Diceros bicornis minor: one gene and its partner. The protein of the gene in region 1 purifies or fractionates together with the protein of each later gene. This does not show direct contact. Links are inferred from orthologs where the notes say so. Each region holds a gene or a part of one and is shown on either strand. Other genes may lie near its edges.

Evidence for each region. The genes of interacting proteins can lie anywhere in the genome.
Region 2: the proteins of CUL4B (region 1) and DCAF10 purify together in Homo sapiens (affinity purification with mass spectrometry; 4 studies listed by BioGRID and IntAct, with this or other methods). This does not show direct contact. The link is inferred for Diceros bicornis minor from reciprocal best matches to the Homo sapiens genes CUL4B and DCAF10.

What each region holds. Positions count from the first base shown.
Region 1 is NC_080781.1:111,043,139-111,050,923, reverse strand, and holds the start of CUL4B (cullin-4B), read left to right. Parts: upstream 1-4,683; 5' UTR 4,684-4,698; coding exon 4,699-4,726; intron 4,727-5,480; coding exon 5,481-6,005; intron 6,006-7,785.
Region 2 is NC_080767.1:6,188,773-6,195,914, reverse strand, and holds the start of DCAF10 (DDB1- and CUL4-associated factor 10), read left to right. Parts: upstream 1-4,116; coding exon 4,117-4,619; intron 4,620-7,142. UniProt on the Homo sapiens protein: May function as a substrate receptor for CUL4-DDB1 E3 ubiquitin-protein ligase complex.

The DNA of each region.
Region 1 (7,785 bases):
AAATGTACTTTCTCCCCTTCCATTGCAATACCTACTCCTAGTTCTGTTTACCTCCAGGCACTTAGGACTTTTGTATTATCCTTTGTTCCCAGGAAGCATTCACCTTAAAGGGTCAGGAACTAAGTCTCTCTGGCTAATTTTCATGTGAAAAAAAGGATTCCTAGAGAAGGAGGCTATTTTATCGAAGGGAATGAATAAATTGTGAAATTTCAGGCATTAAAGGGAGTACAAAGGCTTATCAGCCCCATTCAAATCACAGAGGTACTTACTTCACTACAGCTGTGGTCTCAACCCTGGAGGTATGTAGAATCACCCTGTGAGATTCTTAAAAATCCTGATAATTGAGGCCTTACTCCAGAGATCTAATTCAGCTGGATGAGGTTCAGACCTGGGCAAAGAGGTTTTTTAAAAAAACTCCCCAGGCAATTCTGTCATACAGTCTGTTGTACAGTCAGAGTTGGGAACTGCTGATTTAAACCTAAGTTGGCCCTACTCTTGAGAAAAAGAAAAGCTGAATGCCATTGGAAGATCAAACCTTAAAGCAGGGTGGGGGTGGAGGGACTGTGGGGGTCATTGATAGAGTGAACAGAAGGTTAAAAATAGGCCCAGCAACTCCATAATAAGCAGGTGCTTGGCAGTACCAAAGGAAGAAGTAACCTGTGGCTGATCCGGTCCCCCATTCCCAAACCCCTAGGGAAAATGGCCTGGCCCTAACAGTTAAGGCCTTAAATCTGCTTTCCAGATGGTTCACTGGTATGACAGTAGATAAAAATCTCTGAGCTAAGGTGCTAAGTCCTCAAATGGCTGATGTACCTGAGTCAGTAAGTCTCCAGTTGATGAGATAATTTTACATAGAAGATAAACGATTTTGTTAAAAATATGAGATCTGTGTTATTTATTTACATTTTACTGAGCACCATAGGTTCAGCATTTGTTATTAAGTTCCTTTTGCTTTATAAAGCAACTCCAGGATGGGCAAAGGGTGAATTCACATAGTGTAGTGGGGTCATGTTTGCTTAAGTTTGGCCTCCCCAGTCCCCCATAGCTGCCCCCTGCTGTTGCTCGCATCACAAAGCCCTTATTATGATATAATGGTTAATATCTCACCACCGCTTGGTTTGCCCTCTCAGTGTTGCCCTGCTTCAAAGATGGTCCTTCAGAAGAGTGGATAGAGAACCATGGACCACCATTTGCTCAGCAGTTGTCTTTTCTGGACACATTCTTAAATAGTGCTTGCTGCAGAATCATCTTTGGTATTCTCCTGAGCAAGCAGTATCTCCTATTTTTAAGGAAATTCCCACACATGAATAACAAGGCTTCCAAGAGTGTCTGTCCATCAACAAGCTCCTGCTCTGAGATGTCTGGAGAAGACCCAAACACAAGCCCGCCGGGGAGTCCCCGTGATCAAAGCGAAACAGGTTATACTTTTTAGACAGAGACCTACAGAAATAGGGGAATGGACATTAGAAAAACTAGTCCTCTGTCTTTGTATTTCTTCTTTTATGTGTATATATTTACCTTTATAAATAGCTACAGATTGATTTATTTACTTGATTAAAACAAGGCCAATAATAACTATACCTCATCTGGTAGCACTGTAAAATTTAATTAATGTTTCTAAGGTATGAGTTGAACTCACAAGATGAAAGATTCTATATATGTAATATATGTTAAGTGTCCAATCTGGTTTAGTCTGATAATGGCCATAATTTATGTGCATGCCTTGATTATTGTGGTTTCAGTGAGTCTAACCTTGAAAAATGTATTTTAATGTTGAGAATGTGTTTAATGTTGGTTGGCAAATGTTTGGGTGTATAGAACATATGCTTATGTTTTAGCTAGCCCCAATTAGTTGATTCTTGATGTAAAAGATGTTTTACAAAGCAACATGGGAGGTTTTTCGTCTTTTTAAATTGGTCTGAGTGTCCAAGAAGACACTAAGTTGGTCTGTGCCACAAAATGTAAATGTTAAATGTTTAAAATTATTTATTAAAATTAATTATTAAATTATATATCCATATTAAGATGTGCTAAATATGTGACGATTCACCTGGCACAAAATAAAATGAGGTTTTAAAATGTCAAAAGGAAGATTATTAATCACTAAGAAAAAAAAAAGAAAAAATATTTTTTCCACAAAATTCACTTAAGGATATTTCATGGAAAACTTAAATAGTAGATTAGGCCCCTGGGTCATTTAAAGTGAGCTAGAGCTCAAGAGCCAAGGGTCTGTGCTTTTAGAACTAACATTTACCTGGGAAGACTGAAGGGCTTAGATAATCATGTCAGATTGGGAGCTATTATTACTAGAATGTAGTTGAATATTAACAGGACTCAGCTATCCTTTACGTTAGTATAAAAGTTTATCTTTGTATGGCAAAAGCAGTTTTCTTTTTATCTTTATGCCCATTCCCTTTCAGTTGCACTAATATTTATAATTTTTAAAATAGCTAGCACTCCATACACCTTTCTAAGGAATATAATTACATGAATTAGAACAAGGCCCACTTTTTTTTTTTGTCTTGAAAAGTCCTCAGCGGGTCCATCCATACACCCTTCTAAGGAATATAACTATATGAATTAGAACAACTTTGTTCATTAAATCCTGAAAATTAGCCAGTTAATCCTCCCTTATAAAGGCACAGCATTATTTTATTCTCATTCAATGAAATATTCAATTCAATAAGTATTTACTCTGCATTTACACAGTTGATCAGCATCGTGTGAAATGTGAGACACAATAAAGGAGGGTTTAATGTTTTAGGACACCTTCCCTGGCCTTAAGAGTTTACAGTCTCATTTCAGGCAGCAAGAACAATAGGGTACATTGAAAACAGATAGGAGTCAATCTTCTCCCTTTCAGGCCTCTATCTCCATTCTCTGTAGCCTAGGGTCCTAAGTGCCATTAGAGCCTTTCTCTCTGCCTGTTGTCATCAAACAGCACAAAGCTGATAGTGGCCCAAGGTGGTACCTTTTCTAGGAGGATCTGCATTTTAACTAGTCTAGGAGGACATTTTTAAAGTCTAGGAGGACTTTTCAAGACAAACAACAAAAAAGTGGGTCTGTGTAAACAAAGTTAGAATATTGACTTATTCTTACCGTTCTGATTTGTCTATCTCAAGCTATACAATACAAACTGCTTTTACTCCACCCACAATCTTGTCACGCCCCTGCTTTTAAAAGCCCAGCTTGCTGGCTCATCTCCATGCTGCCTACCCTAGCCTACAGGGTAGACTCCAAAATTTTTGGCTTTGTGTGCCAGGCACTCTTAAGCCTCATCTTCCTTCCTTCCAACCAGACATCCTACTTTCCAGCACTTTCCATATGTCCACAAACAGGCCAGGCACTTTCACAACTCCCTGCCTTGCCCGTGTTTCCACTTCCCAGAATGCCTTTCATGCTCTCCCCTCTTGTCTTTTTGGCAATTCCTACTTTGAGACCCAGCATAAATATAAATTCCTCTGTGAAACTCTGACTATTCCAAAATTCCCCCAAATTTCTTGTTTCACCTGTTCCCATAGCACTTTGTACATTTGTTATAGTACTGTTATGGAAATTAGTTTTGAAACTATCTTCCCCCACTGCCTTCTCAATGGCAGGCATCTAGTATAGTGTCTGGCATACAAAGTCGTTCAATACCTGCTTGTTGAATGTTTCTGCAGTTACAATGATCAACAGGTTGGCAAATTTAGTTTTATTTGACATTGTGTTCTCCCACCCCTCCCAAATGCCTTTGAATTAAATAAAAACTCCCAACAGGGAATTTACAAGGTTTATTGTTGCCAATTTACAGGTTTGTTCTCGTGAGTAATCTATTTTAAAATTTGGGCTCATGGAATACATTGGTAGAAAACATTGACTTTTGCCAATATTGTATTGCCAATATTATACACTTTGTCTCAAAGAAGTGTATAAACTGAGATTTGGTAAAAGAAGTGGCTTTGTTTAGTCTGTAAATTACTAGGTTAATGACTGATGGGGGTCGGGGTTGGGGTTGGTCCTGGGGGTTGTGTCGTGTGGGGTGGGGGTCGTGTTAGTTACCTTCCTGTTTCTTGGCCTTAAAATGCACGTTTAACTCTGGCCAGCTATCTTAGAAAATGCTCCTGGTAGGAAGGGAAAAGGATTTGCAGCTATATTACTGAGAAAGGTATCAAAATTCAGGCCCTATTCAGTATTGGGTCAGTGGTGTCCTTGACATAAAAGAGAAACAACTTATAGATCAACTGAATCAAAAACTCCCTTTCTTTCCATCTAAGCTCTTTTTCTTTTCCTATCTTAACATGACATTCCTCCTTAGTTGGAGGCATAATGGCATCATTATATTTTCTTCCATTTCGGGTTACTCCCCTCGCCTTGCAACTCCTCCTTATTCCTTTATCTCTTTCAAAGTTTCCATTCTCCGTTCCCTTACTTTTTACTCCCTCCCTTCCTCTCTCCCTCCTCCTCTTTTTTCCCAGCTAGCTCACCCCGCCCCTCACCGTCACCACCGCCCCTCCCCTTCAGCCTCCTTCCCGCTCCTTCTCCCGCCACCCCCCCTTCACCCGCCCGCCTCACGTCCAGAAAGCTCCAATCAGGAGCTCCGAGGGTGCCCGGAGGCCCGCCCCCTCCTCCCTTTCCACTTCTCTTCCCCCCCTTTTCTCCCTCCCCCACCCCCCCGCTCAAGTCCTGCGGACCTGGGGGCTTCGGGATCTGGGCGCTATGAAAAGTGTCTGCCCAGTCACTTCCGGTAAGGGCGTTGCGGCGCGAAGCTTCCCGCGGGACCGTTAAGGAGGGGTGGGAGTTACCGGCGGGCCGGGTGAGGAGAGTGCTGCCAGGGACGGGGAGCGGGTGAGGAAGGGGGAGGGAGAGCCAGAGCGAACGAAGGAGCACGAGCGTCTCGGGCGCCTTAGCCGCCCCTTGCCCATCGCCTCCCCGCGAGCCAGCTCCCCCGCCCCCCGGCGCCTGCAGTGCTTCTCTCCACCCCCCACTCCCGGGGACAGACGCCGCCCCTCCCTCGCGGCCGCGTGACCGGAAGTGGCGCCATCTTTAGCCTCTTGTGCTATTGACAATAACAAGCCCCGGTCCTCTCCCCCTTCCCCCTCCCCCCAGCCCCGGCATCTCCCCTCCCAGAGAGAGGGAGAAAAGGAGGAGGAGCTGCCGCCTCACAGACTCACTGAGTCGCTCCTGCAGAAAGGGGGGAGAGAGACCGAAAAGCAGGGGAGGGGGACGGCACGGCCGTTTACCTGTCTGCCTCCTCATTCGTTCTCCCCCCTCGTTCTGCTCACTCCTGGTGTCAGCCTATCCGCCTTCCCAAACCCTCCCATTCCCCCGGTGTAGCCCCCCCTTCACTTTCCTTCTCGTCCTCTGTGTTTCTCCTCTCTTCTTTCTTCCCTTCCCCCTCTAGCACTGCCACCTTCTCTCCTACACGCACGCAGGCATATAAACCTAGGTTTTTGATGCTCCTCTGCCTGTTGACCCCGCTATTTTCATGTTTCCAACAGGTTTTTCTTCCCCCAATCCCTCAGCTGCTGCTGCTGCTCAGGAGGTCAGATCTGCCACTGATGGTAATACCAGCACCACTCCGCCCACCTCTGCTAAGAAGAGAAAGTTAAACAGCAGTAGCAGCAGTAACAGTAGTAACGAGAGAGAAGACTTTGATTCCGCCTCTTCCTCTCCTCCTTTACAACCCAGGGATTCGGCATCCCCTTCAACCTCGTCCTTCTGCCTGGGGGTTTCAGTGGCTGCTTCCAGCCACGTACCGGTACAGAAGAAGCTGCGTTTTGACGACAACCTGGAGTTTGTAGGGTTTGATGCGAAGATGGCTGAGGAATCCTCCTCCTCCTCCTCCTCCTCTTCACCAACTGCTGCAACATCTCAGCAGCAGCAACTTAAAAATAAGAGTATATTAATCTCTTCTGTGGCTTCGGTGCATCACGCAAACGGCCTAGCCAAATCTACCACCGCCTCTAGCTTTGCTAACAGCAAGCCTGGCTCTGCTAAGAAGTTAGTGATCAAGAACTTTAAAGGTAACCAAGGCCAAAATCCATAATCACCTACTAAGGATTTGACACTTGAGTGGTCACGTGCTCTATGTTAATATATTAAACAGCATAGAGGTGGCCTAATGTTTTATGCATAATCAGTGAGGCAGAGGGAGGTCCTTTTTTGGGGGGGTGGTTTGTATCCTTGTGCTGAAGTATGCACTGGGTGTTTGTGTGTAGTATTTTGAGGTCTGTCTCAGCCTATTGTATCTAATCTGTCATTCCTGATAACATTGACCATCGGTATGATTGATCCGGATTTTACAGGTGAGAAATTTGTATTCTAAAGAGGTTTATTTATTTCAGGTGCATAGTGAGCCTTGGCACTGCTGGGATTTTTATTTTTATGCTTCAGTAGGCCACATTCTCCAGTCCCTAGAAATGCAGGTAGAAATGGTGACATTTTCATGCTCAAATAAGATTTATAGTTAGATTTATAATGTTGAATACTGTATTCTTGACACTCATTATGGAAGCAGTATTTGGAGAAAAATGTTTATGATCTCTGCATTTCTTCCCAAAGGTAGGGTTTGGCAGTGAAAAATAATGTGTATACACAGAAGTAGTAACTGTGTACCACTAGTCTAAAGATAGGATCAAGTACTGTATCTATTTTTTTATCACTAAGATGGGTTTTAAAGTACTAACCTGCAGCTTTTAGGAAAATTTGTTCCTTTTGTGTTTCAGATATGTGATTGAGAGTATTATGAAGGCATCGATACAAATATAAAATCAGCAATTTAAAAAAATGTAATTGAGCTGAATTACTTTTTATCCGTTGACTGTGTTTCTGTTTTTCTGACTAACTTTTTCAACACCCTTAACTGGCAGGTATTAGATGCTAAAATGTTTATTAAGTGGAGAAGTAAATGAATGAACTAAAGTAATATTTACCAGATAAGTGCCTTGTGGCTAGATGTTAGTATTGAGAAAATTAGATTTTCCATGCTTGTGTTTTCAACATTAGTGTGGAAATCAGGAATGTGCTCTATTTTGTCTCAAGCAGGGGGTTATAGTGTTATTTTTAACCATTTTTTTTCTATCACTCCTCTCCCATCCCCAGGATCTCAAGAGTGTTGTAATATTTCTGATTTAATAGTAGACTTTTCTGAAGTAAATATGAATTCTGATTGACTAATGTATTCACTGTTTCACTTAAAATATATCGATTTAATAGCCAAGGAGTTTTAAAGAGATGAGCTGTGATCCTAATTGCATTTGCATACTGGTTTCAGAGATTTTGTTTGTTTGGGTTTTTTCTCTCCCTCCTAAAATAAAAACACATTATTAAGGCATTTGGATGTTTTCATTTAAAAAAAGTACTCATTGCTGGTCAATGAATTTTAAACTAAAGCCTGGATTAAGATGTTCCTTTTCATTCTGAAAATGCTACATAGGTTCTGGAGTCATTTGGATGTTTTAATTTTTTAAAATTTTACTCTGCTCAGAAATGCAGTTTAAGTCAAAACCTGAGTTAAGATGTTTCTCTCCATTTCTGTAGATGCTGCATAAATGTGGGGGGTCAAACAGACCTGGATTAGAATCCCAGCTTTGCCATTGACTAGCTATGGTGACCTTGGGCAAGCCTTACTAAATGAATCTTCCAGCCTCAGTTTCCACAGTTGCAAAATAGGCGTAATAATACCTTCCTCAGGGCATTATTAGGAAGGTTCGGATATTTATAAGGTACCTTGTACATAATAGGCATTCAGTATTTTAAATCTCAGGTACAAAATTCATGTTGACTGACTTAGGTTTTACACAT
Region 2 (7,142 bases), on another chromosome or scaffold:
TTCATCCAAAGTCAGGCCCTTTGGGTGTCAGAGGTCATGCCAGTTCTTCCCAGAGAAACAGATTGAGGGTAAAGACACAGCGAACATGGGTTTGTCACCAAGCTTACAAAGTCCTGCTGGTCCCTACAGTGAAATTGCTGATCCTCCGGGCTGGGGAACAGAATCATCCATTCTCTGTATTTATTCCTAAGATTGAGGGTCATTAATCTTCCCACCTCCCAACCTTCCCTTCTGACCCCACCTGAGTGGAGATGTTGCAGACTGTTCCCCAAAGGCCTCTGTTGCCAGCCTGAAGGTAATTTCAAGACAGGTACATCATCCCCTTTGCTCCACTGAGAGGCCCTTGCCTAGTCGCAAGACCTTTGCTCATCCAGGATCAGTCTCTCAGGCATCACCTCCCTAGTGACCACAGGGTGTGCTGTCACACCATGGTTTGATGAACTACTCTTCTATTTTTAGGTGTTTAGTGGTTTCCAGTATTTTGCTTCAGCAAGAGTAATGATTATTAGTATAGTCTTTGGAATCCAGTAAACTTAGATTCAAATCCCAGCTCTGCCAATCTCTAGCTGTGTGACCTTGGGGAAGTCATTTCACCTCTCTGAGCTTCAGTTTCTTTGCTAATAAAATGGGGGTGATAATGACAGTACTACTTCCTAGGATTTTTATAAGAATTAAATAAGATAATGAATATGAAGCATTGAGCACATTCTTAGCACATAGTAATTGCTAAGTGTCAGCTATTAATTTTGCAAATATTGTGTCTTGTTTGGGATTAATTGGGGACATAGGGATAATTAGCTGAGCTTCTGAGCTTTTCTCCTATGAAAAGGTTGGGATTTGGGGTCCTTATGTACTCAGAGTCTCCGAGTCTTGGTTCTGAGATTTTTGATGCCACAGGTGTCCAGAGGAGAAAGAGGTGGTTGAAGTTGGAGTAAGCAAAGACCTCTTGGCAGAGGTGGTGCTGAGCCAGAGTTCCAGGTTTGCATTCCATTGGACTTGATCAAGATACTTATCCATCTGGAAAGTTTATTTTGGCCTGACTTTGCCCCTTTCCTCTAACCTTCGGTTTTTTCATTAATGCCCATTTCGTTAGGCCCTGTGTTTTATTGGCTGGCCATATTGTCATGAACAGAGATTCTGCTTCTGATCGTGTGTTTTCTTGCAGGTCTGGGTGAGCTGGAGAAAGCCTGACCTCCCTGCTCGGGAAAAGGCAGTGCTGGAGTTTGCACTTGCTATTTCCTGAGCTGATGACATAACAGACAGCCATTTCAAAAAGCTCGAGGTGCATGGCTTAAACCAAGAAGATACCTGGGATATAGCTGCCATTTCAGCTTTTTATGCCATGTCCAACCGCCTTGCTCATTTTGTCAGTCTTGTTCCAACAAAGAATTCTATTGGATGGGCAGAACCAATGATGTCAAAGACATGAGGAGTAAACTTGCTGCTCTCAAAGTATAAAAGCCTGAATGGAAAGGCCAGTTTTTACATTCCAGGCACATTGCATTATAAGACATCAGTTGGGAAGTAATTTTTAAAAAACATCTAGTCAGCGGATAGGGAAGAAAGTAAATAAATTTGCTCCCTGCCTGCTTGATGAGCTAGGTCCTAAGTGTTGGGGGTATCCAGCGACATGGGATACCTGGGCCTAGGGGAAACCTTTGCCAACCGTTTACTTTTGTTGTGATCTAAAAGGAGCATCAGGACAAACAGTTCAGAGGATGCTTTAGGTATTTATGATGAACTGATATCTGTGAATTTCAGCAATTGAAGTTGAAAATTTTTTAGCTTTCAAAACTAGTGTTATGTAGAAGTTGTTCTATGTAGACTGATTTGAAATCAATTCCTGTTAACATGGTTGTAATTAAAGGCTCTCAAAGGCAGTGGGTAAAAAGGAGCAGGCACAGTTAAAGTTGTTCTATCTTTAGTGCCTTCTCAGTTAATTAACCCCCAGTGATTTTTTTTTTTTAATGATGGGTGGTAAAATCACGGTCATCTCAACAGAATTTTAGTCTTTATGTGATTTATTCTTAATTTAGGTTCTAGTAAAATTTTTTGGAATGAGTGAGCACTCACATTTTATGTAGAAGCATAAGAAAAAAAAACCTGGCATTACTGAATGACTTGTTCTGTGTGTTACAACCACCACTGTCTTAGGTTTGTGGTTATCTTAACTTTTCAAGAATCATGCTCATTATCTGAGAGAGGTACATGCAAACCTACAAAATGTTTTTGTTCCCATTTGGCTTCTCTAGATTCTCTAAATTGTCAATGAACAGTTCTTAATTAGTTTGGGGACTATAATGTGTTAATTTGGAATTGCCTGAACTGTGAAATCTGATTATCTTGAGCCAGCACAAACTCTCATTTTCAGAGCTTGTGTTTTTCTGTTGAAACTACATCTTAAATACCTTGGAATATGTAACTTTTTAAAATTGACTTTTATTTTACTTATTTAAAAAGTTAATAACATTGGTGAATGTATCATGGTAAGGTTTTGTGGACCATAAAATTTTACCCATTGGCCATAACTTGGGGTCAAGCAGAGAGCCTCTACTAAGTATTTGTTGCAGCCAGAAGTTGTGGGTCATTAAGGGACATTATTTGTTAATCATAAAACAGACCTCTACCCCTTCTGCTCTGTGGTGGCAACATGGGGAATATCTCCAGAGGAACGGCTGCCTTGATCTTCTCTGAACTCAGGACGCTTCCTTCTTGCCCTTTTTTCAATCAACTCATGGACAGGAGAGCTGAATAAACTAACTTTCCTGGTGGGAGGGCGTGCTGAATGTTCAGCCCTCTCTGAATCTCATTCCCTTCCTCCAGAGATCCTTCAGACCTGACCTCACAGGATAGATCTTCCTACAAAGATCCTCTAGATTTATCCTCACAGTCACCAAGTGTGAACTTTCTACAACACAGCTCTTGATCAAGGCCTAGGAAAGTTGTCAGTTCTTATATCTACCTCTCCTTGTAACTCAAGCTTTCCTTTATTGAAGACTCTCCTTCCTTCCCCAAGAAACACCCCAATTCCTTTTTTTTTTTTTGAGTAAAATTGGCACTGAGCTAACATCTGTTGCCAATCTTCCTCTTTTTCTTTTTTCTTCCCAAAGCCCCAGTACATAGTTGTATATCCTAGTTGTAGGCTCCTCTAGTTCTTCTATGTGGGATGCCTCCTCAGCATGGCTTGATGAGTGGTGACGAGGTCCGTGCCCGGGATCTGAACAGGAGAACCCCAGGCCACAGAAGTGGAGCGCATGAATTTAACGGCTACACCACCCGGCTTGCCCCTTCTGCAAACAGTTTTATGTATTTATCTTCAACAGCAGTGGTGAAGGGCCTTGCATCTGTCATGCTCTCCATGCCCTGCCTGGCAGATGTAAGCACGATTGACGCTGGGCTCTATTGCCTGTAAGGTTGATTTGAGTTGGGTCTCCAGCTCCCCTCAGTGGCTCCTGGCTGGATATACCTCCTTTCTGCAGAGAGGAAGGCTTTGGCCTTGATCAAGTCTTGACCTACTGGGCAGTCGCTGGGAGTTGGGCAGATATTCAGGACACCAACAGGCCCCATTTTCCAGGCCCTGTACAGACCAGGGCTTTTTAGTACAGAAGTTGACCTGAGTCCTTAGGTCCTGGGCTGAGTAGGCAATACACCACGCCACCTTACTGTGCGTGACCTGCACATAATATTGGTAATTTCTTCTCCTCGCAGATCTCAGAGTAAAGTGGGGATAACAGAATCATACCCGGCCTGTTAGACTGACTAGTCAGGCCCACTCCTCCCCGCCAGGCACAGTCACGGTCACTGACAACTGCAGACTGACTGTCACACGCGTGCCCTGATGCTGACACTGCCCCATACAGCCCGGGCCCTGGGCATCTTCAGTTGCGCACACAGCCAGTCAGTCGCTCCCGACCTCTGTCCTGTGGGCTGCGGCACCCGCGGTCGGGCGGTGTCCCCGCTTTCGCGGTCCCCGGCGGATGGCTGCCGAGGGGCGGCGCGGGTTTCCCAGCCGGCGGGGTTAGGCCGCCGCACGCCGGAAGTGGCGGCTGGAGGGGGAGGGCTGAGGTGTCGGCCGGCGGGGCAGCGGCCCGGAGTGGGGGGGCGGGGGTGTGCGTCATGTTTCCCTCTGGGTCCAGTTGTCCCGGAGGGGACAGGGCGGAGGAGCCGGCGCCCCACCGGGGGCCAGCGGCCGCCGCCGGGCCGCTCCCTTCCCCGCCCGCGCCGCCACAGCCCGGGGCTGACGCGGCCTGTCCCCCGTCGCCCTCCCGGAGCCCTCGCCGCGCCGGCGCCCCCTCCCTGGCCCGGGCCCTGGAGTCTCCGGCTGCCGCCGCCCAGGGAGAGCCGGCGTCGCCCTCCCCGCCGCGCCGGCGGCCCGGGCCAGACTGCGGGGCCGGGAGCCGGGGCCGCCAGGGCCTCAGCGGCGGCCTGGGCGGCGCGGGCGCCCGGCTCTTCGGGTGGCTGCGAGAGCGCAGCCTGGGCCGCGGGCTGTTCGTGGACCCGGCGCGGGACAACTTCCGCACCATGACGAACCTCTACGGCTCCATCCACCCCGCCGACTCGGTGTACCTCAGCACGCGCACCCACGGCGCCGTCTTCAACCTCGAGTACTCGCCCGACGGGTAAGCGCGGCCCTCCGCGGGCGGGCCGCTCCGCCCGGCTCTGCGCCCGAGGCCGGCGGCCGGGGTCGCCCGGCGGCGCCGGGGTTGGCGAGGTGGCTGGGCCGCCGGCCCCGTGCCGCGGCACTCTCTGAGGGTCGGAGGCCCCGCCGCCGTTGAGGTGGGCAGGCCCGGGACCCGCTGTCACCTTCAGGACGCCGAGGCTCCGTGAGGGAGAAAGCCTGAAGCCGCACGGGTCCGTCAGCCGGTCCAGAGCGCGGGCTTTCTGGGACGCAGTGGATGCTCAGGAAAGACGCCCCTTTCCCGTCACCCGAGGCTTGCGTTTCCTCACCTAGGCTTGTGTCAAGGGTCGGGCGCCTGCAGAGTCCCCGTACCCTGTGACCGACTTGCCCCGAGGGGACAAGCGTGTGTTCCCTGGCTCTGTAAGATCCTAAGACACTGCCGAGAGGTGTCTTATGATGGGGCGCATTGGTGAAGTTCCCAGGCTAGACTACGTGCTTCTGGTAAGGGTGTCCAGCCTTCTTCCTGGCTGATTAAATATTTCATGTTTGGCCTCAGTTTACTTTGGAGTATGCGGAATTTTCAAAATAATATATATTTTTAAAACTTTGTTTTGTGAGTACACAACCAAGTTCAACAGCAGTCAAGGAAAAAAATTACACTCAGTTCCATCGTGAGACAACATAGTTAATGTAACTCTTACCCATCAAGGTCTCTGGATTCCTAGTCATCTGCTTAGTTGTTCATTCATTCGTTCCCTCATTCAGCAAATATTTGTTGAGCACTTGCTAGTTCCACGTGCAGAGGTGAGCAAAACTAGCTAATGGCACTGCTTTCATTGAGCTTGGGACTATTAGTTCAACTAATAGTAATAACCATACTAAATAATTCATAACGTATATTTACAAATTGAGATAAAGACTTGAAGGAACCTGTTGTGGACTAGGTTTTCAAGGTTTCCCTGAGGAAGTGACACTTAACCAAGATCAGAAAAATGCATAGGAGATGAATTAGTCAAGACAGAGTTGGGGAGGGGATAGAAGTATTTCAGATGGAGGAACTGGTATGTCAAAGAGCCTATGGTTGGAGGGGCAGCATGTCGTGTTAGGGAAGCTGAAAGACTGTAGGTTAACAAACAAAAAAATTTTGTTAAAGAAAGACCTAAAATATGCCAAGGAAGGAGCAAAGCAACAGAATCTGGAGTCACTGTGAGCAGGCACACCTTATTCCTTTTCACAGATGCAAATGCTTCTTCCTAATCATACACGGTGCTGGGATCTCTGGAGCTTCTCCTTTAGTAGTTGGGTAGAACTTGTAGCAAGGAATGTGAACCTGAATTCAAAGAAAATTGGTGAGAGGAGAAACTATTTTGCTGGTTTGTTCATGAAACCTCCTCTCCCCACTCCTTCCTCCAAGCCCTATTCCTAAGGCTCCTCCCAAAATACCAGGAGTCTGTTCCTCTCTTCTCCATATCTCAGTTCCTCTCCTCCCCACCTCCTATCTAGTCTGTCAGGCCTTCAGAAGTAGCTGTTTCTACTCTTTGAAGGTGGGATTTTATGTAGAGGGCAAGAGAGGTAGAATGAGTTATGAAGAAGGAATCTCCATTGCCAGTGCTATTAGAATGAGGAATATATTACTGATAGTTCTTGTTTGAATCTGGACTACATTTTCCCATAGAAACATTTTTGTAAAAGGTGGTTGGGTATTCTGGTACTTAAAACAAAATAATTTAATAATGTTTAACTATGCAATTAATATATACTCATTGTAGAAAACCTAGGCAATAAATGAGCAAAAAGAAGCTAAACATCATTTATGGTCCCAGAGATTGAATGGATATCCAAGGAAATTTTTTCTTTGTGTATGTTTATTTTAATATAAACATGGAATCATACTGTTGTGTAGCCTGCTTTTTTTCATGCAATATATTGTGAACTACCTATGTTAATAAATATATTTCTAAAACATTATTTAAAATTTTTCATTAGTTTAAATAAAACCTCTATAAGCAAATATTTTATATTTATGTCCTTATGATAAATCCCTAGAATGAGTCAAAGATTATGAAGATTTTGGAGACCTGTTATTCAATTACTCTCTGTGACAGCTGTACCAATTCTGATTCCTGTCAGACACATATGAAAGTGCCTGTCTCACCTTGCCAACATTGCACACTGCCATTTTTTTTCATCTATGTTAAGATGATAGGTGAAGAAAGTTCAGTGTTTTAATTTTTTAGTATTACTACATCTACAAATAGGCCCCCAATTTTTATAGGACTTAAAGTAACTTTATAGAAAAATGACATATCTGTGTTAAATGAGATAATTTCTCGTATCCTTCAGTTATATATGAGCTAAATCAGCTTACTGGGTACCATAACCACTGTCGCTTACAAAGACTTCTCAGTACAGAGAAGGAGAGATGACACAGAAGGTAAGAATTAAAATTATGAATTTAATAGAGGCCAAACTAGAGAGAATTTGGCACTAAAAAAGAAATGAAAGGGTACGTGGGCTAAAAGGT